Drosophila melanogaster: one gene and its partners. Changing the gene in region 1 together with any one later gene gives a genetic interaction. Each region holds a gene or a part of one and is shown in the gene's direction. Other genes may lie near its edges.

The links.
Region 2: of dx (region 1) and Hs3st-B, changing one enhances a phenotype caused by changing the other (phenotypic enhancement), as found in Drosophila melanogaster (one study listed by BioGRID).
Region 3: of dx (region 1) and Pten, changing one suppresses a phenotype caused by changing the other (phenotypic suppression), as found in Drosophila melanogaster (one study listed by BioGRID).
Region 4: of dx (region 1) and Su(dx), changing one suppresses a phenotype caused by changing the other (phenotypic suppression), as found in Drosophila melanogaster (3 studies listed by BioGRID).

What each region holds. Positions count from the first base shown.
Region 1 is NC_004354.4:6,532,062-6,539,095, forward strand, and holds dx (deltex), read left to right. Parts: upstream 1-1,937; 5' UTR 1,938-2,351; coding exon 2,352-2,840; intron 2,841-3,459; coding exon 3,460-4,743; intron 4,744-4,805; coding exon 4,806-4,948; intron 4,949-5,016; coding exon 5,017-5,317; 3' UTR 5,318-6,514; downstream 6,515-7,034. Other genes in the region: RpL7A (ribosomal protein L7A), read right to left, coding at 1-144, 237-360, 429-443.
Region 2 is NC_004354.4:19,246,971-19,252,555, forward strand, and holds Hs3st-B (heparan sulfate 3-O sulfotransferase-B), read left to right. Parts: upstream 1-1,668; 5' UTR 1,669-2,170; coding exon 2,171-2,353; intron 2,354-2,768; coding exon 2,769-3,232; intron 3,233-3,783; coding exon 3,784-4,291; 3' UTR 4,292-4,304; exon of another isoform or gene 4,305-4,480; 3' UTR 4,481-5,075; downstream 5,076-5,585. Other genes in the region: CG7992 (uncharacterized protein), read right to left, coding at 1-24, 84-144.
Region 3 is NT_033779.5:10,255,815-10,263,015, reverse strand, and holds Pten (phosphatase and tensin homolog), read left to right. Parts: upstream 1-1,966; 5' UTR 1,967-2,162; exon of another isoform or gene 2,163-2,431; 5' UTR 2,432-2,762; intron 2,763-3,028; exon of another isoform or gene 3,029-3,325; 5' UTR 3,326-3,440; coding exon 3,441-3,540; intron 3,541-3,602; coding exon 3,603-3,775; intron 3,776-3,842; coding exon 3,843-3,987; intron 3,988-4,100; coding exon 4,101-4,288; intron 4,289-4,359; coding exon 4,360-4,467; intron 4,468-4,618; coding exon 4,619-4,781; intron 4,782-4,842; coding exon 4,843-4,952; intron 4,953-5,022; coding exon 5,023-5,238; intron 5,239-5,299; coding exon 5,300-5,621; intron 5,622-5,893; coding exon of another isoform or gene 5,894-5,898; exon of another isoform or gene 5,899-6,106; intron 6,107-6,509; coding exon 6,510-6,529; coding exon of another isoform or gene 6,530-6,563; 3' UTR 6,564-6,697; downstream 6,698-7,201. Other genes in the region: Rsf1 (repressor splicing factor 1), read left to right, coding at 1-200; CG5676 (uncharacterized protein), read left to right, coding at 7,201-7,201.
Region 4 is NT_033779.5:2,036,011-2,043,733, forward strand, and holds the start of Su(dx) (suppressor of deltex), read left to right. Parts: upstream 1-1,703; 5' UTR 1,704-2,214; intron 2,215-2,517; exon of another isoform or gene 2,518-2,631; intron 2,632-3,722; exon of another isoform or gene 3,723-3,794; intron 3,795-3,919; 5' UTR 3,920-3,981; coding exon 3,982-4,144; intron 4,145-4,206; coding exon 4,207-4,349; intron 4,350-4,411; coding exon 4,412-5,563; intron 5,564-5,636; coding exon 5,637-6,559; intron 6,560-6,642; coding exon 6,643-6,841; intron 6,842-6,903; coding exon 6,904-7,173; 3' UTR 7,174-7,723. Other genes in the region: lectin-22C, read right to left, coding at 446-1,237.

The sequences.
Region 1 (7,034 bases):
TCTTGTCCAGAGTCTGGCTGAACTGGTGGATTGGTGGTGGGACCTTCAGGCGCTTCTGGAGCACAGCCTTTTGACGCTGCACCCGGATGTATTTGGGCCAGCGAACGAAACGGGACAGATCGCGCTTGGGCTGCACATTCTGGCCTGCAAAGTGAGAGAATATGTATACATTTAGCTAATATGTAAGAAATTCCGCTGCAATATTCATATATATAGAATATGTTTTGTGCACTTACCGATTCCGAAGTTCTTGGGACGCTTCTCGAACAGCTGGTTAACAACCTTCTTGACCACGGGCTTCTTGACAGCCAGAGGAGCGGGAGCCACCTTCTTGGTCACTGGCTTCTTCTTTGGCCTGGGCTGTAAACGCAATGAAAACACGCATTAGGTTAATTCGAGTTAACAGCAAATTTACGCCGATAACTCACCTTCTTGACAACCATTTTCAAGCGGTTTTAAAGTTTGCTACCGAAATAAGCAGTTGCTAAAAAAGAATTAGCACATTAATACGTTTTAAACTTGGTAAAGTTAATGGGAAAACACGCAAAACTTCGGCGACCAGCAAAACACGTGCATGAAAAATGTAAGTACGGAAAGAAAAAAAAAACCATGTTGCTTGCGTGTGTGTGTGTGTGTGTGTGTGATAATTGGGTATAAACAACACACGTTTTTTCGCAGATTTTCCGAAGAAATCTACTCCGTTTTCATTAAATTGAAGAAATATTACTTTCATTTTGATAACTTTGAAGTTTTAAGGTTTCTTTAACAACACTTCTACACACACACTCCATACACCTGCACCAACACATGCACAAAAACATGCCGCAACGCACATTTTTGTTCAAATGGGTTGGAATTTGGCAATTTCACTACAAAAAAAAAAAAGGTTTTCGGAGTATACTGCGTACTTCACGTGTTGTTTACACTTTGTTCTTTTAAGTGGCACATTTAAATCCGGCTTTGGAAGCCCACAGAAAAAAAATTATACAAAAAATTTGGTTTTGCACACATTTTCGCCGGCCGCGTAGTTTTTGGGTGAATTTCTGGAATTGTGAGCTTTACCTGTGATAAGCACGACCACGAACGTATCGAAATACTCGCTGAAAGTAAATAAAATATTGGTTTTTAGCACAAAATTCAGGACTGCTCGCTAGGCACATGCACTCACCGGAAACGTGGAACGAAAAAGAAAGGAAGTGGCAGTTCCAATGTTGGAAATCGAGTAGATTCGATCTGACCGTGCCACATTTGCACCGAAACGCCAAAAGAAGCGATATACCGAGGTGAGAGGCTATGCTTATTCTTAGCAGAGACTCGCTCCATTTATGTTTTAAAAATTTTAAGGTACATCAGATAAGTTAAAAAACAATGTTATTTAAGCGTAACTTCTTTTTTAATAGGCCAGCGCTTGAAAACGAATCAAATCGTGGTCAGAATACCTTTCGTTTAAATAAAAATAATATATCTAACATTCCATCCTATCTAGGACATACACCACAAATGTGATCGTTACAGCAAAGACATGCTCAAATTATGAATTTCTTAAAAGTGACCGATTTGTATTACCGAAAATCTTGAAAAGAAATACTAAATAGAAAGAAACTTTGGAAGCAGCCAGTGTTGGAGGTCGCGTTGCTTAAGAAAAGTAGCTTAAACTTGCCAAAGTAAATAAAAAATATTGAAATTAATATCAAGTAAAATCATTGCAAGTTCTTATTTTTTTCATTTCAATATAGAATTCAATTACACATATATTAATTGATTAATTAACAAGCTAAAAATAGTATCTGTTTATATTCAAGTGCAAGAAAAGAAAATAAAAAATATTAAACATTTAGCTAGATCTAGCTAGCAACCAGTTATGCCAACCCTGAAACTACCGAATCCAACTGGTGGCTGCAGATGCAGTGCGGTATTTTCATCCGGCCTTATTTAGCCATTTTCCGCTGTTGTCTCTCATTAAATCGCTGTCCAACAATAAAAATTTCTCGCCTGCGCTTGCGCTAAATGCTAGAAAAACTGTTTTTACCATCAAACGTGAATTCTTAAGCTGCGCCTAAACGAAACCGAGTGACTAAAGAACCAGAACGAAAACTTCGGGAAAATGGAAGCCAGGGAAAATCAGGGATAACTAACGCTGGCAGCGGGTCCACCATTTTTAATTTCTTTGTTTATTTTGTGCCCATCTTCGCGAGCGAGCGAGATAGCGCGACAGCAACAGCAAGAGAGAGCGAGAGAGAGAGAGTGAGTGAGTGAGAGCTAGTGAAGAGAGCGCAGGAGGAGTTGGATATGGAAATGGGCATGGATATGGCAATGGGCTCACTCCACGGATAACGGATCAACTGCAAGCAATGGCCAGCAGCGCCGGAAGTGCGGCATCCGGATCCGTTGTTCCCGGTGGCGGAGGTAGCGCCGCCTCCAGTTGTGCCACCATGGCCCTGTCCACCGCCGGATCCGGTGGGCCGCCCGTGAACCACGCCCACGCCGTCTGCGTGTGGGAGTTCGAGTCGCGCGGCAAGTGGCTGCCCTATTCGCCGGCGGTGTCGCAGCACTTGGAACGCGCCCACGCCAAGAAACTGACGCGCGTCATGCTGAGCGATGCGGATCCCAGCCTGGAGCAGTACTACGTCAACGTGCGCACAATGACCCAGGAATCGGAGGCGGAAACGGCCGGCTCCGGCCTGCTGACCATCGGTGTTCGGCGCATGTTCTACGCACCCAGCTCGCCGGCGGGCAAGGGCACCAAGTGGGAGTGGTCGGGCGGCAGTGCCGATAGCAACAACGACTGGCGGCCCTACAACATGCACGTCCAGTGCATCATCGAGGACGCCTGGGCGAGGGTGAGTGCCGTGCAGAATCGAATGTTTTCCCATTGGCAGTCTAGTTGGAATTTTGAGTTGCTCAGGAATTTTTTTATCGGGAGAATATATGGGGAATCTTAAAAGAGTGTGGGTTTACCACTGATCCTGAAGAATTGGCTAAGGATGCACCAGTCTGTGATGTGTCCATAGGTGTTTAAATAGTACATATAAGCCAAATTCCACAGTTCACATCTCAGCCAAAAAACGTAGTAGATCGAAGAAGTGTACCTTTTTGAATTTCTGATGCTTAGACAAATAAATCTGCATTTAAATTTTTTAGCTAAAATCAAATTAATTTTTTTTTCAAAAATTTCCATTTTTGCAACCTCAAAATGGGACAAAAAAATTGAAAAAAAATTTAATTTTCACTTTTGTAAAAGTTTGAATACAGAAACTTTCTGCTTTAAAAATAATGACTATTAAAATCATTCGCACTTAAATCGCTGGAGTTTTGGCTGAGTTATGGTATTATGATCAAATTTTAGGGGCTATATAAATTTATTCTTCTTCTTGCACAAAGTCCAACTGCAACCGCATATCAATCAATCAATATCATCAATTATAGATTGTAACATAACTTATTCCTACTCCCTTGCAGGGCGAACAAACCTTGGACCTGTGCAACACCCACATCGGCCTGCCGTACACCATTAACTTTTGCAATCTCACCCAGCTGCGCCAACCCAGCGGACCCATGCGCAGCATTCGGCGTACCCAACAGGCGCCGTATCCCTTGGTGAAACTAACGCCACAACAGGCCAACCAACTCAAGTCGAATTCCGCCAGCGTGAGCAGCCAGTACAACACTCTACCCAAACTGGGAGACACCAAGAGCCTGCACAGAGTGCCCATGACCAGGCAACAGCACCCATTGCCCACCAGCCATCAAGTGCAGCAGCAGCAGCATCAGCACCAGCATCAACAGCAGCAGCAGCAGCAACATCATCACCAGCATCAGCAACAACAGCATCAGCAACAGCAGCAACATCAGATGCAGCACCATCAAATCCATCATCAGACGGCGCCCAGGAAGCCGCCCAAGAAGCACAGCGAGATCTCCACCACCAATCTACGCCAGATACTCAACAACCTAAACATCTTCAGCAGCAGCACTAAGCACCAATCGAACATGTCGACGGCGGCCAGTGCCAGTTCATCCTCCTCATCGGCCTCGCTGCACCATGCCAACCATCTGTCGCATGCGCACTTTTCGCACGCCAAGAACATGCTGACTGCCTCGATGAACAGTCATCATAGTCGCTGCTCGGAGGGATCGCTGCAGTCGCAAAGGAGCAGCCGGATGGGCTCGCATCGCTCGAGATCGCGTACGCGGACCTCGGACACGGACACGAACAGTGTGAAATCGCATCGGCGGAGACCCAGTGTGGACACTGTGTCCACTTACCTCAGCCACGAGAGCAAGGAGAGCCTGCGCAGCAGGAACTTTGCCATTTCGGTCAATGATCTGCTGGACTGCTCGCTTGGCAGCGATGAAGTTTTTGTGCCCTCGCTGCCGCCATCGTCGCTGGGCGAAAGGGCGCCGGTGCCGCCGCCATTACCACTGCATCCGCGACAGCAACAGCAGCAGCAACAACAGCAACAGCAGCTGCAGATGCAACAGCAGCAACAGGCGCAGCAGCAGCAGCAGCAATCAATCGCCGGTTCGATTGTGGGCGTGGACCCGGCCAGCGATATGATATCGCGTTTTGTCAAGGTGGTGGAGCCACCGCTGTGGCCCAATGCCCAGCCCTGTCCCATGTGCATGGAGGAGCTGGTGCACTCCGCCCAGAATCCGGCCATTTCGCTGAGTCGCTGCCAGCATCTCATGCATTTGCAGTGCCTCAATGGGATGATAATTGCCCAGCAAAACGAAATGAACAAGGTGAGCACGCGAAAGCGATGCCAATTAGAAAGAGAAAGTTTATTTAAATTTCATTCCCCTAGAACCTTTTCATCGAGTGCCCTGTATGCGGCATCGTTTACGGCGAGAAGGTTGGCAATCAGCCCATTGGCAGCATGTCGTGGAGCATAATCAGCAAGAATCTGCCAGGACACGAGGGTCAGAACACCATACAGATTGTTTACGAGTAAGTGTGAATGTGCCTGTGGCCACTGAGCAATCAACTATAATCACTCTTTTTCATTTGCATGGCAGCATTGCATCGGGACTGCAGACGGAGGAGCATCCGCATCCGGGTCGTGCCTTCTTCGCCGTGGGATTTCCGCGGATCTGCTACTTGCCGGACTGCCCGCTGGGGCGAAAAGTGCTGCGCTTCCTCAAGATTGCATTCGATCGTCGGCTGCTTTTCTCGATCGGACGATCGGTGACCACCGGACGCGAGGATGTGGTGATCTGGAACAGTGTGGATCACAAGACGCAGTTCAATATGTTTCCGGATCCCACCTATTTGCAACGAACCATGCAACAGCTGGTGCACCTGGGCGTGACGGATTAAGGATTAGTTCCCTGTCCCCGAGTAGAACTACCAACCAACCAATCAACCAACCACCCACCCACCGAAGTCCCCTCGATCATTCTCTTCCATTCGTCGTTAAGTTACTTTCTACATAATCTCAGTGTGTGTGCAATCCTCGTTTACTATGATATATTTTTTTTATAGATATATTGTAATAGCGTTCGAGCTGCTCGAACCCTAAAACAACAGCAAACCACAATTGCAATTGTAGCTTCCTTTCCGCTCTTCCAATTCGTATTTGTACGCACATACGCAATAAGTTGGCGTACATCATATGTATTAGCTAGTTAGTTAGTTAGTTAGTTGTAGCTGTAGTTCCCAAGAGAATCTTGACCCAAGACACCTACTAGTATTAGGCATTATCCTGATTCTTGATTCCTGATTCGATTCAAGCCAAGCCAAGCCACGCCATTCGAGTGCAAGCTGTGCCAAAATCGTAGCGCTCCCGTTTATAGGATATGTATATTGTTGATATAGCTAGCTATAACCATTGCCCATCTCTCCATCTCTCTCGGTTTCGAATTTGTCTCTTTCATCAGATCCATGTGAATTTTCTTTATATCGGATTTATATAGGATTAAAATAGTATTTTGAGAGAGGAAATGGAGATGGGTAAATTCGATAGACTTGTCTCACTTGTCTTGGCCATTTAATCTCTTTCATTCAGCGAATTTGATGTGATTTTAATTTGAATTATTCATTATTAAACGGAGCATTTAGGAAGCATAGTTGTAACGCAGCCAGATATTCCATTACGCATATACATATACATATACATATACATACATACATAAACATATTTTAACATAGCCCCATAGCCATACGACATAACAATAATTTTTTTTATCGAATCCCTTGCATACATTTGATGAATTGTTGCTTTCATATTGATATCATCGAGCATCGAACGAACTATCGTATACATCGCCAATATATAGCATATATAGCATATAGTATGTAGAGATCGTACGGACAGCTAGCGGCTACTGACCGCGCCACCATATTTGATATATGATATGATATGATTTTACTAAGTTGTATTTAGCACTGATTAGTTATTAAAGTTCATTGCGAATATTCCACAACAAATTCCACACCATTTATGTATGCATATTACGCATATATAATACAGTACATTTATATATAGTTCAAATAAAGTAACTTTCATTCATGTTCAAATTAAGTCTTTCTTTTGGGATATTTATTCACTCATGTCTAAAAGGAAATCTTTCTTTTTGGACTTTTTCACTTATGTATGTATGTTCGAATGAGTTCTTTCTTTTGGGACTTTTTTCTTTATGCCTCTTATGTTATATTATTCACTCAATTGTGCCATGCTGCTTGTAAACTAATTACCAGCACAAGCTTAAATTCCAATTAGGTGGCTCTATGGCATTGTTGCATTGTTGCCAGTTTCTTACCAATGCGGTGCAATTCAAATCAATCAGTTGACATTTTTGGAACTTCCAAGGTTTAGCTGTTTTCAGTTTTCGGTTTTCGTTTTCAGTCTACGCCGCCGTGAATCACTTAAAATAAATTAATAAAAGACAAAAAATCCGATGCATTTTTTTTTTTTTGTCATTGTGCAGTGCAGCGAGTGCGTGATGTGTTGGTGATGTTGGATATGCTGGTGATGTTGGCGATGCTCTGGTGAAGTTGCTCCGGGCCATTTAAGGCGCAGCGGCAACAAGTTGAA
Region 2 (5,585 bases), about 13 Mb from region 1:
CGCAGGGCAGGAAGCACAGGCAGACTGGAAGTGAATGAGACGTAATCTCTGGACAAGGATCTCCATTGGCGTGGCTAACTCACCCACATAGCTGGGCGCATATTTAAAGAACTTCAGCACCAGTTTGCCCCACACATTCGACATTTTTGCGATAGATTTGCGTTAGTTAGTCCAGCAGCAGGGAGAGGAAGGTTCGTCTATCGAAGGAGCTTAGAGCATTTTAGCGAGCAGCTGGAATGGAGATGCCTACGATGCGACGCCGGACAAATGGCAAATGGGCCGGTGGAAGTCCGGCGGAGAATTCGACTGCGACGAAGGCGGCGCAGATAAGGCGATAAGATAAGCCAACCCGACCCGACCAGGTGCATGTGTGTGGTGGCCATGGATACACGGGCGGAAAAGTTGAGGGTTTGGGATTATCTAGCCATTTCTCCGCTCGGGTTCATGAATTATGATAGTCAAAAGGAAATCCGATTATGTTGCGCATCTTGTGGAGAAATTCGTTGGTTATAGATCAATGTTTTTTTTTGTACCTGAATGTATCTTTTTTTGAGCAAGTATCTATCTATGGCATTACTCGAAGTACTATATTTCCCATTTTATGTAAATATTTTTACCCCAATTTATATGATCGAATTTCCTGGCGCTTTTTTCGCCAGTGTATCCCAAAGTGAGTGACTAATGCCGCAGTGGAATAAGCCACTTGGACAGATAAACAGATGTCCGCCGGTTGATAAGCTCCTTGGCAGTTGGCCCAACTGAGGGCCCCTACTATTTACCACGCTGCCACGGAAACGTACAATTTTTTGGCCTTTCATATGCATAAGAAAACAATGTGGCAAAGGCCATTGGGCCATTCCAACGATAGGGCTTAAAACTAATCTCAAATGGCTAATGGTGATAGGAGTACGGGCAATAGAACGTCCGGCGATAATGCTTGGTAAATTGATTTCAATCCAATATTAAATGCCAGCAAGTACTTTATCAGACGCAAATGGGGTGGTTGGGTTGTGGGTGGGTGGTTGGTTGCCAAAGTGGGTGGGGGTAAGTTCTTGGTTAGTTTGTTTACCTTTGAGCGGAAAATTGATTGAAGCCGAGAGCAAAAAAGAGAGAGAGAGAGAGTTGCGACAGGAAGTAAGAAAATAAAAGGCCGTATACGAAAAGATTATGGTCGAATAAATATTAAGATGGCATTCCCAGCCTACATAACAAACTATATACATATATACATTTTTAGAAATAATAAAAAATATTAGAAATACTACTTAACGATTGCGTTTTTGGAGTACATTTTATCATGTATTCGTTGTGAAGTTAGAAATTAACAAATCAATAATGTCTATTATTATTGCTTAATATAAATATAACTTTATCAGACTTGGAAATTAATTACTAACTTAAGTGAAATACTTATTTATTAAGATTTGATTTGTGTAGAAAGCAAAGATTTCGTCAAACCCTCACAAAGCGGAAATTCTTCAGATTTTAGTATCTTTTGATTTAACTATATATGTCTGCTTTCTTTCTTAAAGACATGATGTGATAGCAAGCTGTCACTACATTAATTATCTGCTACATTCAAGACTTGGCACTTCTTTCGGGCAGTGTACATTTGCGACGTCACACCAACGGCGATTCGACGAGCTGGCGAGAGAGCAAGCAAAACGCTCAGTTGCATAAGCGTCCCGAGACGAGAGAGGATGTGTCCAATGCGCCTGTGCGCTTCCCAGGCGCAACCATGACACGGCCGCTTCCCCCACCCATCCTGTCATCCTGCACAAACGGAGCCGAACCGGCGGCCCAGGCAGCGCTTATCCGCTGGCAGGGCACCCCAATGTCTTGGCCCTGCCTTATCCCTGGCTTTCACTTCCGCAACTCGGCTGCGACGACAGCTCCGGCACTTGCAGGCCGAACTCGTAGCGCCAGCACCACCCCAACCACACCAACCACCCACCAGCCACCTAACAGCAGCAGCAACCACCAGCAACTACCAGCAGCTCCAGCGTTGCGAACAGCCCCATTCCTTCAGTTGACTTCGCGTTGGCGGTAGCCGCCAGCCGCTGCTGCGATTGCAAATCACAATCGGAATCCGGATGCTGCAGGCAGTGCTCCGGGGCGACTGAGTGGCAATGGAATTTGACGGAGCGCTCGGAACCGATTATACCGCCAGATGCGAGACACGGCAGCCACTAGCGCCCAGCCAGCCATGATTGTGATGAGCATCTGGTGCAGCAGCCTCAGCCTGAGCAGCCGCAGCCTGGCCATCGCCCTGGTGATCTGCGTGACTCTGGTCTACTTCTCCTACAGCTTCAATGCCTGCCTCCTGGCCAGCATCAGTCGCAGTCTGCAGCAGGTGAATATGTCCACGAATCACTGGACAATGTCTAAGTGTAGGGGCTAAATGTATCCAATATCCAATGCATTTATTCATGAAAACAAACTGATAATTGGAAAATCGAATATAAAGTTTCGCTACACACATGTGTAAAGTGGAGCCAACTCAAAATTAGGGGGGGGGGGGGGGTTGTAATAATCCCCAGCGGTTTCAAAACATTTAACAAGCTGTCCAAAAGTGTGCTGTGAAAAGTTTAAGTTTTGTCTTTCGCTGAACTTTGCGATGCTATCTACATACATATATACGATTATATATATGTACATTTATAGTTGCATACTTTTCGGCATACTTACAAGTTGGGCATTTTCATAAGCCAATATGTTGATATGTTTCGCACGATGTGTGGCATTGACCTCTGACCTCTCCCGCGCAGAGCAACTTACGCAATCTACTGGCGCTGACCTCCTCGCCCCGCAACGAGACCAATAACGCCGCCAACAGCAGCAGCAGCAACAGCAGCAGCAGCAGGAACAGCTCATCCACCACCGGTGCTCCGCCGGCACAGACGGTTACTAGCAGCCTGGATGGGGCGCCCAAGTATCAGCTGCTCCGTCAGCAGGGGCTCCGACCATCGCGCCACCTGCCCGACACGCTCATCATTGGCGTGAAGAAGAGCGGGACGCGGGCGCTGCTCGAGTTCATCCGCCTGCATCCGGACGTGCGGGCCGCCGGTTCGGAGGTGCACTTCTTCGACAGGCACTACCAGCGGGGACTACGCTGGTACCGCCACCACATGCCGTACACTATCGAGGGCCAGATCACCATGGAGAAGACGCCCAGCTACTTCGTCACCAAGGAGGTGCCGCAGCGCGTCTACCACATGAATCCGGCAACAAAGTGAGCTTTTCTACATCAAACCTATTGTGATCATAATCGTAAATTGTTACTCCATCAGATTTGATAGAACTTAAAAACGGTCAATTCTTAAAAATGATATTTTTAGAATACTGCACTTTATCCACAAGACTGTATTTAGTCATAGCATACTTTTTAGCACCTATAATAGAAGTGTTGAAAATTGAAGAGAGATACTTTTTAAGGCCGATTTGATATCCCTTAAATATTGAAACCGTACGTAAATCGTAGCATACTATATAATAAAAGTGTTTCAAACGCTTAGCTGAGATTTTTAAGGCGGATATCCCTTAAATATTGAGTCCTTTTAAATATGTGCTTTATACACAAGACTTTAGAACTTGTTTTAGGTTTTATCATACTTTTAAGCACCTTAAGTGAAATGGTTTTCGGAATACAACATTCGATTTGATCAACATAGAAGGGATTAACATTATATTCTAAATGCATTATGCGTTTTACATTAACCCTACGTATCTGGACCATCAATCACTAGCATATCTTCACTTAACCTCAATTTTATACGCCCGTAGATTACTGATTGTGGTGCGGGATCCGGTGACGCGGGCCATCTCCGACTACACACAGGCGGCGAGCAAGAAGGCGGACATGAAGCTCTTCGAGCAGCTGGCCTTCGTCAACGGTAGCTACTCGGTGGTGGACACCAACTGGGGCCCGGTGAAGATCGGCGTCTATGCACGCTATCTGGAGCGCTGGCTGCTCTACTTTCCGCTCTCGCAGCTGCTCTTCATCAGCGGCGAGCGGCTGATCATGGATCCCGCCTACGAGATTGGACGCGTACAGGACTTCCTCGGTCTGAAGCGCGTGGTCACCGAGAAGCACTTCTACTTCAATGCCACCAAGGGCTTCCCCTGCCTCTTCAAGTCGGAGGCACGCTCCACGCCCCACTGTCTGGGTAAGACCAAGGGGCGCAACCATCCGCACATAGATCCCGGGGCCATCGAGCGCCTCCGGGAGTTCTACCGGCCCTTCAACAACAAGTTCTACCAGCTGACGGGCATCAACTTCGCCTGGCCATAGGATCCACGGCTGGGTGAGTAGACGGAACTGGGATACGTGCAAGGCTAGTACCGAAATGGATTGGATTGGCCAGAGGCTAGGCACCTTCACTGATCTGCTCAATTTACATATCACATCCATCCCCATTGGAGTATGCTTGACTATCCCTAAGCCCTAATCCCTAATATCTGGTATCAATTTCCGTTTCAGCGGGCGTGAAATGAATGGAGTTTGAGAATAGGAGATATTGTTGTTGCTGGCCACGGCAACGGACTGATATTGTTGATTGCATTTTTGATACATATAATTGTACTTATATATAGTATATACACACACACATAAAGTTAGTGCTCAATTAATTGTAGCTTTATCAGGAGACAAATTCAACGAAGTGCGCAACCTGAAAAGTCCGCACTCAAACAATACGGTTCCTCACTCCAATTCAATTCAAATGAAATGAAATGAAATGAAACTCACTTTTCCCACTATACTCGAATGTCAGGCAGTTGGACGTGGAGGAGCCACGTTCGATCCGAGATGGACATGGTTCCCCCGTCCGCTGGGCACACACATTGCTATGTACTACCACTACCTAAGATCATTATACCTAAGATCATTATGTGCATTTATATACAAGAATAGTGAAAAAATAGAGCTTACTACGAAATTCCTACAGTCTCCTAAACTAAACATATACAAAATATTGTATGCATAGTTCCAACAATTTCAATTGCATGACTCAACCAATACGATTGCTTAGCCAATTTCAATTAAAAAACAAACTAAATAAATCGACCTTAAATCTAGTCAGCCCCTAAGAAGATTGTTATCTTTCCATACGATTTTAAGTAAATAGCACTTGCTGGGTTTAACTTTTTCAATTTTTATAGTTTATTGATTTCATTTCATTTTGGTTTTAAAGTGATTGTGAACGATTCACGGTATGCTTCTTGCTTTGTTTTCAACAATAATGATAATTTCTTGGTTTAAGGTTTGTGTGGTCTTTTTGCTTTCGCCTGCCACTGGGTCTCTTTTAGTTTTAAGTACATTAATTAAATAAATTGCGGTGGTTTGTGGTTGTTTCTTGTTGCTTCAAGGCAATTATCCAATTTGCTTTCGATCTGCTTCTATAAAATATGTTGGTACACGCTACATAAGAAAATTATATATTATTTTTTGGGATTTTTGTCGTTTGTTGGTTTCCTGCTTACGGTTATGAATTTCTTTAAAAATAACTATGCATAAGTGGTGATCGTAAAAGTAACTATGGTAATAACTTTAATTTTAACAAACTAGTCGAAAATAACTTAAATCC
Region 3 (7,201 bases), on another chromosome or scaffold:
ATAGCTCCGGCCGATCAGGTGCAAGCAGCTATAATGGCAGAGAGGGCGGCGGCAGCGGCTTCAATCGCCGCGAGGTTTACGGCGGTGGACGCGACAGCAGCCGCTACAGCAGCGGAAGTAGCGCCAGCTACGGACGCACTGGTGGTCAGTCGGCCGGACGCTTCAGGTCCCGCTCGCCGGTGGGAAACCATCGATTCTAATGACAACACCACTCATAGTTGCTTAAGGATTGCCTATGAGTAAAGATTAATAAATAATAACTTAAGCGCGACCGTAAAACGCAGACTCAAACATTTAAAATCGTAGCATTCGATCGTTTTCGATCGTCCAACAGATTCCCTCATTCCCCCACATCAACAACAACAACAGAATGATAAAAAAAAAAGAAAAAACAAAAAACTGATAGTCGTCGTCTCTTCATTATTTATTTAACGAATACCCATTAACATGACAATTGCAAGCACGTAAAATTTAAGTTATAACGTAGAAAACTAGTAAGAAAAATACGCTAAGACTCGAACAACGTCAAACCAAAATCTAGAAGTACGCAATTTTAATAAAGGAAATGCGGAACAGTTTCTCGTATACATAAAAGCTTTCGCAAAATAATTGGTCTAAAACATTAAAGAATTTTGAGAACTCGGAATTGTGTAGGTGTTCATTTTTACAGAACCTCTTATAACCATCGTAATAAACCCTACGAAATGAAGCAGTCAGCAGTCCGAAACTGGTAAGAAAGCGTTTTCGAAAATCTGCTTTGTTTTCTGAATCTCGAAAACCTAAAAAGCAATAACCGCCAAGTGTTTACAAACAAATCATTGACTTTACGTTTTGGTAAGAAATATTGCATGTGTACTATCCATCGATCTAACTTTTTACCTATTAAGACAAATACTATACAAATCTATAACTTATTGTAGTTGGGTCGAAACGGCAAAAATCTAGCCAATGCTGCAAGCAACTATATTAAGCGCATCGGTTTTAATGTTTATGTTTTATTTCATTTAACTAAATTAACAGGTCATTTGTTGGAGTATCTCTTAACGTCACTTTCAGATTTATTAGATTGCTTAAAGTTCAAAACATAGCTAAGCAATACTTATGATAACGACGATTAGTTAGTTAGCCCAAGGGGCTATTAAATATTTAAACGATGGACTGCAGAAACTTTTTAAACAAATAAAAAGCGAGACAAATAAATGAGAAATTGGTTAACACGGCAAAACACTTGTTTTTATTTCTTCGTCTTCGAGTCCTTTTTGCTTCAATAACATTTACTGATGATTGGCCTATTTTGATTTATTCAAGTTACGAATTAAAGTCAACAGTTGAGAATTAAGTGGTACCAAGAATTCATTTTGCGGAAACCAACTAGCCTTAAGATACGAGTGTAATTTTTAAAGTTTTGAAAATTTTTTAAAATTTTAAATTATTCAGATAGCAGGTTTTGCTTTTGAATAAAGGAACTTTAAATTCCAATCATATTTATGTCAAAATAATCGAATACCCATAAAAAACCTGTTGCACTTTTATCGATTGTAAATAAAAAAAGAGAGGATTACATTAATGGTATTACCCAAACTGATAGTTTTCAATAGCATTTCAATGGCTGGAAAAAAAAATAAATAAAAGGTATTCGTAAATCTTAAAAATGTTTGCGTTTTAAAAAATTGCATACCAAAAATAATATTGGTTTTGCAAGAAATGGAATTTTTAATAGCTGTAGCAATATTAGTTTCGTGGGTAGAACTCGAGTAAAAGATGTGTTGGTAGTCATGTTTTTGGTAGCATGAAGTTATATGTGTGTTGTTTAATAAGATTAAAATAAATGCATAGATAATTACATATTGTTTAAAACCGCAGTGCTAAAAAATAAATGGTTGTATCGATGACCCATCGATAGTTTTTGCATACACAATTTAATCGAGAGGGCACCACGCACGTCGATAGCACTGGATGTACATTTTCTCAAATCTTGTGGTGGTATCGCTCGCCGTAAACACCCTGTGGATCTCACGCTTGATAAATTAATAATACATTTAATAGAGCATGAGCGCTACTGTTTAACTTTTACACATAATTGAAAAGTTTTATTTGAAATTTCGTGGCTTAGAGCAAAACATGTGATAGCTTTTTGAAATGCAGTAGCCAGAACCTGCTCGGTTGGAACATTTAGCTTATTGACTTAAACATACCCATATGCACATACATACATATGTATTAAACAGTGGGCACATATATTCGTGTGGTGCTGATAGTGTAAATGTGTAAAATGTCTGTGGAATTGTAAATATGTTTTTGTTTAAACAAATATGTACATAAATGCACAAAAATCGGTGCATATATGTGCACATGCCCATCATCCATATCTGCATATTTCTGTACATGCATATGTGCTCTAACTACAATACATACCACCATTCGCAAACAGTTTGTCAAAAAAGTGTGTCTACTCGGCGAGATAAAACAAAAAACAGTTGCCAAATCAGTCGCTATGTTAAGTAATTCGAAATTACTGCTCGGTGTTTCTAAAACGGATTTTGATTTTGATTTTCACCCCTCGAAAATCGCCCCCTCAGCCAACGAACCCATTTAATTGCTCGAATTCGTATCGAAATCGCCGTGCGTTGGGCTTCAATAAAAGAACTCTGTTCTGTTAGCCAGTTACAATTAAAACCAGGACCATTTGACAACCAATCTGAATGTATTATGCCAAGCGGAAGATTGTTATATTGTTTATCTTTGATAATATGCCGATACATGTAAGTATGTTTCACGTGTGTGCCGCAAATGCCTGCCTGTGTGTGTGTGTGTGTGTATGTACATATGTGCGTGTGCATGTGCGAGTGTGTGTGAGTGTGTGCATGTTTGTGCTAAGGATATTTGTGGATATATAAACCGAACTGAAGTTAACTCTTTACCTGTTCCTGGGAAAACAAGTAGGGAACTATTCCTATAGAGAGTGCACCTCTGTCTGTATGTGTATGTACGTGCTTAAATATGTATCCAAGCAAGAACTGCAAACAGGAATATATCTTAGCCGAGTAAGAAGTATTAGTTTATATAGAACAACCTAAGTGGATCGGGAGAAAACAAGCCCATTATATTAGTTCCATATATCCCTTTAGAATGCCTTGGCACAGTATAATTAAGCAGTTTCTATTGACCATATTAGAAACTTGTCTGCTGTTAAAGGATTTAGGTTTGAATTCGCAGTAGAAAACTAAGCTGAATTGAGTCAATACTTTTCTAACTTGCTGTGGAAAATAAACAGATTAGTTAGAATCATATGCATATTAATTAATATGCTTTACATTCCTTTCAGAACGTACACTTTGCAATGGAGTAAATAGAAGACAAGCACTGGTTCCCAAATACATTTGAATGGATGCAGCTAATCTAATTTAAATAAAAAAGACAAGTCTTTAAACCTTAAAAATATGGCCAACACTATTTCGTTAATGTCCAACGTGATACGCAATGTAGTGAGTAAAAAACGTATACGATACAAAGAAAAAGGATACGATTTGGATTTAACATGTAAGTTATTGAATCAACCGCAATCATTGGAATATTAAATTAAATTATCTATTTACCCACAGACATTAATGATAACATAATTGCCATGGGCTATCCAGCACCGGATAAACTAGAGGGCCTATTCAGAAACCGTCTGGAAGATGTCTTTAAGCTATTGGAAGAGAATCATGCCCAGCATTACAAAATCTATAACCTATGCTCGGAGCGTAGTTACGACGTTGCTAAATTTCGCGGGGTAATTTTGTTGAACTTTTTCTATTTGTCGGCGTAAAATATGTAAAATATACTATTTCGCATTACAGAGAGTAGCTGTTTATCCGTTCGATGATCATAACCCTCCAACGATTGAGTTAATACAACGATTTTGCAGTGATGTTGATATGTGGCTCAAGGAAGATTCGTCCAATGTTGTAGCCGTGCACTGTAAAGCTGGAAAGGGCAGAACCGGTAGGAAATGTGTTCAACATTTTGTGCGAAAGTTCATAAATATCATGGCACACTATGATCTTGTTTCGATATTTGTAGGGCTAAAAAACTAACCCAGTTTTTTTTCATTTCAGGTACCATGATCTGCGCATATTTAGTGTTCAGTGGAATTAAAAAATCCGCCGACGAGGCATTAGCGTGGTATGATGAGAAGCGTACAAAGGACCGAAAAGGTGTGACAATCCCATCTCAGCGTCGATATGTTCAGTATTTTTCCAAACTAGTTTGTTCAAGTGTTCCATATTCGAAAGTAAGCCTTAACGTGAGTATTTCCAGCAGCAGCGCCACATTCAGCGCCGTACAAAATCTAAATATGCATTTTTTGTATCTCAGGTATGTGAAATACGCTTCTCGGAGTCCAGTTGTGTGCAAAACTTAGGCATGGTAGAATGTTCAATATCTGTATTACACGACTCAGCCACAGAAAATGCAAAGCCAGATGTAAGTATATAAAGTATATAGATACATCATTGATAGACTATAGACAGCATTTTAAAAATGTATATTTCACACGATTTCAGTGCAGTAAAGTGTTCCTTTTCGAATACCTTTCTAACCAGCAGTAACATTCTTCTTTTTTTTATAATTGCAGAGACTGAAAACCTTGCCGATTGATTTTCAAAAATCATTTGTTTTGACCATTAAACCATCAATACCAGTTTCCGGCGATGTAAAATTTGAACTCACAAAAAAATCCCCAGATAAAATCATTTGTCACTTTTGGCTAAATACGTTTTTTGTACGAAACTATTCACGTAAGTATACTTAATATCGCACATGCATTAAATAAACGATTTAATTAAACATTCTCTTTAGCTTGCGAGTCCGATGGAACAGTTAACAAATATATACACACTTTAAGCAAATCAGAAATCGATGATGTACATAAAGACAGTGAACATAAAAGATTTTCAGAAGAATTCAAGGTAGGATATTTCGAAGCATTTTAATAGATGCTGCGAAATTACCAAATAAATGTGCTTGCTCTCTTTTCAGATTTCAATCGTTTTTGAGGCAGAGAATTTTAGCAATGATGTTCAAGCTGAAGCGTCCGAAAAAGAGAGAAACGAAAATGTTTTAAATTTCGAAAGATCAGACTATGACAGTTTGTCTCCAAACTGCTATGCCGAAAAAAAAGTCTTAACTGCGATCGTCAATGATAATACAACGAAAAGTCAAACAATAGAAACGTTGGATCATAAGGATATAGTTGTAAGTGAAAACACGTTTTGCGCCGATCAATATGCTTAATCTATAAATCTAATATTCGTAGACTAAAATTCAATACGACACATCAACCAATTCAAAAAATACTTCGACTGCGTGCAAACGCAAACAGCCTAATAGCAAAACTCTTTTACCAAGCTTGAATGATTCCACAAAAGAGGAAATAAAACGAAATCATATATTTAATCAACCGTCCATTAAGAAAACTGATTTAATCAAATGGCAGAATAGTGAAGTTCATATCACCTCTGACACTCGAAGTATAAACGAAAATAAGAACATCAATTACAATTCATACATCACATGTAAACAATCCTCTCCAAAATTCAACTGTGGTACCGAAGATGGCGAGGAAGATTGGGAATCCGGTGAGTTTGCTGCACACTATACTCTCAATGACCAGATCTCACTAAAAATCTATCCGTTTTAATCGAGTAATACCGAACAATTGTTCTAATTTCACATTTATTTAATACTAAGAGTTTCGATTCAATTGATTTCTGGACCATTATCGGTTTGATTTTGTAATTAATTGTATTGTATGAGTATTCAAATTAAGATTTGTTAAAAGAGATAGCCTTTATCGACATATGCTATCGTCCACACATTTATATTCTTATTGACTTATTGAATTCGCCAGAATAATCACCCGAGACGATTTAAAAGACTTCTGGCTGAACGATCTCTTAATTTTGATGTATAAAACGAAGCCACCAGAACTGGATTTATATGTCCCCAAGACTTTTACGAGTATACTAGCAGAGACAGGCTTACACAGATCCACTTCCTTTCACGGGGAAACGATCGATTACAGCTGCGCTCTGCACATCTGTTTAGAATTTAATGTACATAGGTGAGTGAGTGGGAGCCCATGCCTGCGGCTCGAATGGTCAACTAACCGGCAATCCTTAATCAGTATCCGCATCGATTTTCATCACACATCCCTCACCGCTTCATAAGTATGTGACTCTGGGCACTGCCATTGTCCTTCTACTCAATTCATTTAACAAAACTAGCACCGAACTGTCGAACTTCGACTAATTCGACTATTTCACTGTTGCTGTTGAAAACTAAATATCCTGAAGCAGAATGTGTCTTTTGTGTGTTTCATCATCATCAAAAGTCTTCTGCTTTTAATTCATTCATGCTATTTTGATTTTTATCGTATTCTCGTTGAGTTTTAGTTAATAAATTCATTAAGCTTGTTTGAGCAAAAAAATCTAAACTAATAAATGAATATTTTTCTTTATTTCCAGGTGAATCAACATACCTGTAATCAATGCTTATTACGGACTTATAATTCTTGGTGATTTAGCAAAGTAATTAAAATTGCTAAGTAATTGGCTAATCTATTCGAATTTGTAAATATACTGTATGATATTTATTTAAGTAGTTTTAACAATTATTTTAAATAAACTCATGTACATTTTGTATTGTAGATTTCATTCGAACTTTGGGTTTTTGTCTAAAGTAAGGGGGGAGAAATAATTGACGTTTAGAAAAAAATACTTAAATTTATAGTTTTGATCTCGAAACTAGTTTTCGACACGAAAAGTGCAGCGATTAAATGGATATCTCATATTTTATTGGAATTTAACTAATAGTTTCAAATGAGGCAATAGCTAAGATAAATAAATAATAAGAGGTTCTTGAAATTTGCCAATTGTTGTGCAAAGCATACAGGATTCACAAAGGTAATTATCAGATTAATAATAAATATTCAAAGTATGATTATTCCAGTTTCTACGTTAAGTGCTACCAGTTATTTTTCTTACTCTTTTTCCCATAATTCCCCTAACATATGTTCCACTTCCGAGTTCCAATAAACCCAACACAAAAATGTTGTCCAAATTGACGCTATCTTGACGGGCATATATTATTGTGTTAAATTGACGTAAACTGGGCGGTCAGAATTTCGCATCTTAACGTCGACATCTAATTTTAAAAA
Region 4 (7,723 bases), on another chromosome or scaffold:
GATCTGCTCCGTTCGAAGCCCGCGATACGAATGACTGCGGATGCGGAGCGGTCGGCACATTAAATTTTGATAATTTTCACTTTGAGCCGCGTTCTCTGAAACTCTTGACAATGTGTGAAAAAGTCCGAAAGCGAACAAACAACATGGTATACGACGAATTTTCTTGGACTCTCCGCTCTCAGTGCTCGTATTTAAAACGAGTGCTAATAATTGTTTAAACAAATAGTTTTTGTGCTACTGGAAAGATCGGAGAATCAAGGAAATTTCACTTTTTGTGCGCAGTTTGTTTGTCTAAAAGTGCAATATAACGTGAAACTGGTAAATTTAGTAACCATAAAGTGAGTAATAGAGATAAGCTAATGAAGGCTTGAGGGATTGAATAAAAAATCACAGGTGTTACGGCATCAGCAAAGGTTTTATTATTCTCATGTGGTTTCTATTTAAATCATACATTTAAATCTTCCTCCTCGGTCTGGCAAATGAACCGGAAAGTATAGTGGCATGGGTAATCGTACATTTCCCCGTTGTATAGGAACACGCAGTTGAGGGTGTCCAACTGAGAGGGTCTCCCCGAGGCCCATTTCAAAAAGGTAGTCTGCTTGCCCGTGGGCATGGACAAGAATTTTCCCTCGTGGTCCAAGTCATTGATTCCCAGCCAGTAATGCGTGTCCTCCTTGAGATTCGCCTTGATGGCGGCTAGATCTGCCTCGTCCTTAATGTCGGCCAGGTGCCCTCCCATATTGCGACAAGTTTTTGAAGCAGTGGACCAGTTCTTCTCGGATACTTTCTCTATGTAATAGTACTTTGAGCCGATTTGCTCGAATCCGAGGTATTTTATTTTGGTTTTTACTTCAAGGACTGTTTTCTCCAGGGCCGACAGTATGCCTTCCATGCAATTCAGTCGTTCAGTAAAGTTCTGTTCGTTAACATTCAGTTTTCTGCCTTGGGCATCCAGTGCGACTTCAATGCTTAGTTGCTTATTCTGCAGAGCAGTCAGTTGGCCTTCCATCGTGTACTGTCTCACCAGGACCTCGTTAGCCTTGCTTGAATTATTGGAATTCGCCAGATTTTGGGAAATGGTCAGGTGATTTAACACGGGCGTAAGTACACCCAGACAGAATCCTCCACATTGACTAGGAGGGTCCTTTAAAGGACAAATCACATCGGATTCTGCCCAAGCTCCATACAAATTTAAAGCAAGAAGACCACATAGCAAAGCACTTGCGGATTTTAGCATTGTAAGCACTTTTTACTGCCAAACACTATGTTATTCGATGAACTGAATCCGCGCTTTTATATTTATTCAATAGCACCACAAAATTAAATAACATTTAAAGAAATTCAATGAGCAACGCAACTGAGTAATGAATATTCAGGGGGCTTCTAATTTATATGGAGTAATAAGCTTAGATTCCAATAAAATCAGAGGGGCCAGAAGTACTAGCTGGTGCATAACTTTTTGGCTAATTATTTACCTTTGTTTTGTTGTGACTACGGGCAATACGTTCTTATTTTTATTCCTAATTCCTATTCGCGGTCATTTTCAAATCTGGTTGGCTACTCCATTTTGAGCTTGTACGGCAACTCTGGTTGAACATGTAAGTTGGCAATATAGCGAGTACGCCAACCCAGTCTAGCGTGCATAACAAGCCTCGCCAATTGAATTCAACCTATCGATTCGCGCACTGAGTGGCCACATCAGTTGTATCGAAAAACATCGTCCAAAGTTGCAGCTCTAGAAATTGCTGCTTGCAAGCGAAGCAAAATAACAAATAAACAATTAGTGCAGCGATATCAACTGCTCGCGATTACGTGGACCAAAGCGAGGGCGGCAGCGCCAACTAGTGCAATAATCCAGCCATCAATTTTGGGGCCCGGGAAACCCAGTTAAGAATCCCGCACACACACTCGCACATGCAGCCGCACACAGGAGACAACAACCACACACACAGGCGCAAGTTGTAGGAGCACCAGAGGCAGAAGAAGAAGCAGCAGAAGGTAAGACACAGGTAGAAAGGAAAGGAAAACGGAGGAGGAGAAACCCCCAGAAATTGCTAAAAACAAAAAGGAACGCCTCTTGCATTGGAATTCGCCAGCGGTAGAGCGGCGGCAGCGAGTGCGAGCGGGACGGAAGTCGCGACCTTTGCCTCAATTACAAGCGCACACACACAAACACACACACGCCCACCCACAGAAGGAGTGGGAGTGGGAGAGGTAGTTACCTTCTTTCTGGCGTGCGTTACATGACCACGAATAAATATATATCTACACATATATATGTGTGTACTGTAGCATAGTGGCGCTGTGTGGGTGACTAAGCCCTGCGGTCGATAATTCAAGGAAGTTCAAGTTCCCCTCCCTCCACCACCCCTCCCCATCCATCGAGCGAGAAGTGCATTCTAGGCTTATTGACAGCTGTTGCTGATTACTTCGCTTGGCTCGCGCTCCGGCTGCCCCACCAGATAGCTTCCCTTTGTTCATCGGCCCACTGATAAGCGCTCGAATGATAGGCGAAATGAGCCGGAAAGTGCGTGCTAATTGATCGGAGAACTGTGTCCCATTCAGATCCATGCAAAGCCCTTCCAAATCGATTTCAATCCGGTCACAGAATCTGATGAGTAGACACTAATGGTAAACAACAAGCTGCACTTGCTCACGTGTTCTCGGTTAATTAATGTAGTGAAAACGCTAGCAAAAGAGAAATCGCGAACGGTACACAGCGAGAAAATCATGGTAGTTATCAGCATGCCGATAAGCAAAGCGAAGAAGTCATTAAAGCATTGAGATTTCAGTTCTGACGATATATAACAAAATAACTTATTTGTGGGCTTGTGTATCGCCATATCGGCCATGTTGCTTCCTGCACACAATCAATATGCAATAGCCATTCAACAATTGAAACCGAATTCACTTGCCGTTTTCTTTTTCGCGTTGAGCCGATGACTCACATGGCAACATTATTATACAATCTATTGTGTAGCGGGGTGTTTGCTATCAAAGTTATGGATGACCAGCAATCGGTGCTGAGTGTGTACGAAAAAGTACAGGGAAACACACACGCACACAGCCGTGGCAGTCGCAAATTATGGAGAAAATTAATAGGCGATAATACGGTGCTTCCCAGTAGTTTAAAGTCCACGAAATCAAGTGCACTTATCAGTGCATTTATATATTTATTTGGGGGAATTTCTATAGTAATACAAGTTTCTTTCAATAATTTAGAACTCTAGCCTCACTTAGTCAAAGAATATATTTTGGGATCAGAAACATTACTCAGTTTTTTAATAAACTGTTTACCCAGTTTGGTCATGATTAATTTCGCTTGAAATAGCATAATTTTTATCTTTCATATATGACCGAGTTGCACTGTACATACATTAGCGCCGATTTTACAGCTCACAATTTGTTCGAGCAGTTTATTTCACCAAAAAAGTGAAGGCCTATTCGCAAACAGTTTTGTTGCCATACTGTCGTTTACACACTATATAATACACAAAGCTATACAGGCCATATCTTATCTGCGGATAGTCGCTTTCATAATGATATAGAGCTGGCATTATCTGCCTTCTAAGATCAGGTGTATAAGTAGTCGAGAGCTTAAAGCGACTAAGGAAAACTGCATAACACCTAAAAAGTGCTTAGTAAATCACTCAGGGTTCCCATAAAGGCCTGTTGGTAATCTGTAAACCTAGCAAAAGTGTGTACAACACTTTTATTCGGATAGTTATTTCCACTCTATAAAAGCTTCCTGTTCAACAGCATTGTACATTTTTGGGTATTGATAAACCATTTACGTATGTAGACCGTGTTCCGGACTTATCTTATCAGTCCAGAACACGCAATTTCCCCCCATTCGATACTTTCCACCACCAATATTCAATAGCAGCGTGCTCAATACTGGCTTTCTCTTCACTCAAAGGGAGGAATATAAGGCGGAGGAGGAGGCGGAGCACCAGGAGCACTCACACACTCAGCCACTAAATGGCCGATGGAAATGGGCTGCCAGCGGGTGCAGCTTCCGGCGGCATGGAAGCCGGGCAGACAGTGAATGGAGCGGGATCCGCCAGCCCCACGCCCACCTCCAGCTCGGGGGCGGGGGCCAGTGGGAGTGCCAATCAAGGATATCATCAATTAAGCGTGACAAGTGAGCAAACAAAAGAAAGTGAAACATTCTGTTCAATCAATAATGGCCCCAAATCCTTTCAGTCGAGGAGGCTTCGCTGCGCAACAATGGCTTCCTCAAGCCAAATCCCTACGTGGAGCTCTTGATTGACAGCAAAAGCAAGCGGAAAACGGACCTGGTGAAGAACAGCTATTTGCCCAAGTGGAACGAGGAGTTCACAGTGCTGGTGAGTAGAAACAGTAATAAAAGTCAATTATTTGTAATATCCACGGGATCTATCGTCTCTAGATTACACCCAATTCAACGCTGCACTTCAAAGTGCTGGATCACTCCAGTTTCCGTAAAGATGCCATGCTTGGAGAGCGGATCATCAACCTGGCGCACATTCTGCAGCACTACAATGGGCGGTGCGAGTTCCTTGAGCTGACCATCGACCTGTTCGTCACCAGCAAGTCGGACAATCGCCAGACGAAGAGCGGCGAACTAGTGGCCATCCTCAATGGCCTCAAACTCGATATGAGCAAGCTGCAGATTCAGCCAGTGGCTGGCCAACAGAATGGCAATCCACCCGTCCAGGCGGTCAATCCGTCGGTGGTCAGTGATGCGGCCGCCGGACGAAGTTGCATGATTTACGGTGGAGTACGGGCACGGATGCGACTACGCTCGAGCAGTGGAAATAGCAACGGCGGAGAGACCCGCTCTCCTCTGCCGAATGGAGGTGGAGATCACAGGAGATCTACGCAGGCGCCCCCGGTGTGGGAACAGCAACAGCAGCAATCCCAGAATCAACAGCAGCCCCTGAGAATGGTCAATGGCAGTGGGGCGGCCGTGCCGCAGACAGCTCCGTATCCTCAGCAGCCACCAGCTCCCGCACTAGCTCGTCCTCTAACCCAAGTGTACGGAGCGCTGCCAGAGAATACACAACCAGCTGCTGTTTATTTGCCAGCTGGAGGAGGAGCAGCAGTAGGACCACCTGGAGTAGCAGGCCCACCAATTGAACAGCCAGGAGTTGGACTGCCCGTGAGCCAAAGCACAGATCCGCAACTGCAGACACAACCAGCGGATGATGAGCCGCTGCCTGCAGGGTGGGAAATCCGTCTGGACCAGTACGGTCGCAGATACTACGTAGATCACAATACACGATCCACATACTGGGAGAAACCGACACCGCTGCCCCCGGGCTGGGAGATCAGGAAGGATGGGCGCGGTCGAGTTTACTACGTAGACCACAACACAAGAAAAACTACCTGGCAGCGGCCGAACAGTGAGCGTCTGATGCACTTCCAGCACTGGCAGGGTCAGCGGGCCCACGTCGTGTCTCAAGGCAACCAGCGATACCTGTACTCCCAGCAGCAGCAGCAACCAACGGCGGTGACAGCCCAGGTGACGCAGGACGACGAGGATGCACTGGGTCCACTACCAGATGGCTGGGAGAAGAAGGTAAAGCCGTTTGTCTAGATTAGAAAAAGTATTTATTTTAACTCGTTCCTTTATTTACTTAATCCTTACGCAGATCCAATCGGACAACAGAGTGTACTTTGTTAACCACAAGAACCGAACCACCCAGTGGGAGGATCCACGCACGCAGGGCCAGGAGGTGAGCTTGATCAACGAGGGCCCGCTTCCACCCGGCTGGGAAATCCGCTATACAGCCGCCGGTGAGCGCTTCTTCGTAGATCACAACACGAGACGAACCACCTTCGAAGATCCTCGACCCGGTGCTCCGAAGGGCGCCAAGGGAGTGTACGGAGTGCCACGCGCCTACGAACGCAGCTTCCGCTGGAAGCTGTCGCAGTTCCGGTACTTGTGCCAGAGCAACGCTTTGCCATCGCACATCAAGATCACGGTGACGCGACAAACCCTGTTCGAGGATTCATACCACCAGATCATGCGTCTGCCAGCCTACGAACTGCGAAGGCGGCTCTATATCATATTCCGCGGCGAGGAGGGACTGGATTATGGTGGTGTATCTCGCGAGTGGTTCTTCTTGCTCTCCCACGAGGTTCTGAATCCCATGTACTGCTTGTTTGAGTACGCGAACAAGAACAACTACAGCCTGCAGATAAATCCCGCCTCGTACGTGAACCCCGATCACCTGCAGTACTTCAAGTTCATCGGTCGCTTTATTGCGATGGCCCTGTATCATGGAAGGTTTATCTACAGTGGATTCACAATGCCATTTTACAAGCGCATGCTGAACAAGAAGTTGACCATCAAGGACATCGAAACGATCGATCCGGAGTTCTACAACTCACTTATCTGGGTAAAAGATAACAACATCGATGAGTGTGGATTGGAGCTCTGGTTTAGCGTGGACTTCGAAGTGCTCGGTCAGATAATCCATCATGAGTTGAAGGAGAACGGGGAAAAGGAGCGCGTCACGGAGGAGAACAAGGAGGAGTACATCACCCTCATGACGGAGTGGCGGATGACACGGTATGCATTTTACTTGATAAACGACAATATGTTGTCAATATGGGTGTCATTTTTGACTCGGTATTAACTGATTCCTATTGCAGTGGCATTGAGCAGCAGACAAAGACGTTCCTGGAAGGCTTCAATGAGGTGGTGCCCCTGGAATGGCTCAAGTACTTTGACGAGCGCGAGCTGGAGCTTATTCTGTGCGGCATGCAGGACGTGGACGTGGAGGACTGGCAGCGCAACACCATCTACAGGCACTACAACCGCAACTCCAAGCAAGTTGTCTGGTTCTGGCAGGTGGGTTCCTTTGTGTTCTTTGTGCCCTTTCCATTCGCTAATCCGGATAATTGGCTCCACAGTTTGTTCGCGAGACGGATAACGAGAAGCGAGCTCGCCTGCTGCAGTTTGTGACGGGCACGTGTCGCGTGCCGGTCGGAGGATTCGCCGAGCTGATGGGCTCCAACGGGCCGCAGCGCTTCTGCATCGAGAAGGTGGGCAAGGAGACGTGGCTGCCGCGCTCGCACACCTGCTTCAATCGATTGGACCTGCCGCCGTACAAGAGCTACGATCAGCTGGTGGAGAAGCTGACCTTTGCCATCGAGGAGACTGAGGGCTTCTGCCAGGAATGAGTGGCAGTCGATTTGTGGTCGGTTTGTTGATTAATGTTTAATTCCAGTTAAGCGCCTGCTTTACCGTCCCCTCCCCCTTTCCATTTGACGACCACGTTGCGTTAAATAGTTACTGTTATTATTATTATTACATACGTATGTATTACTACTGTATACTGTAAACACGAAACACACACTTCTGTCTGTCTATTCCTATGTTCGCAACCGATATCACACGAGATATTTGTTAAAAGTGCACGAAACTTGAGAACAATCTATGTATGAATGTATTGAGAGCCTATTTTAGAGATATTTATAATTTGTTAGGCATAATTTATCCACTGCATAACTCTCCTGTGTAAATTTAAGACAAAGTTTGATTGATTCGCTTCTGTTGATATTTCTTACGACCATCTATCTTCAAATGTAATTGTCATACATTTCTTTGGATCCTTGTTTTACGCCGATAAATAAAACCACCTACCGTTTAGCTTCAGCTAAGCCTTTAAGAACTTAAGCACCGCCATTCCCAGAATATATTCAAATTTGAACTTGGGCTTGCTTAGGGCAT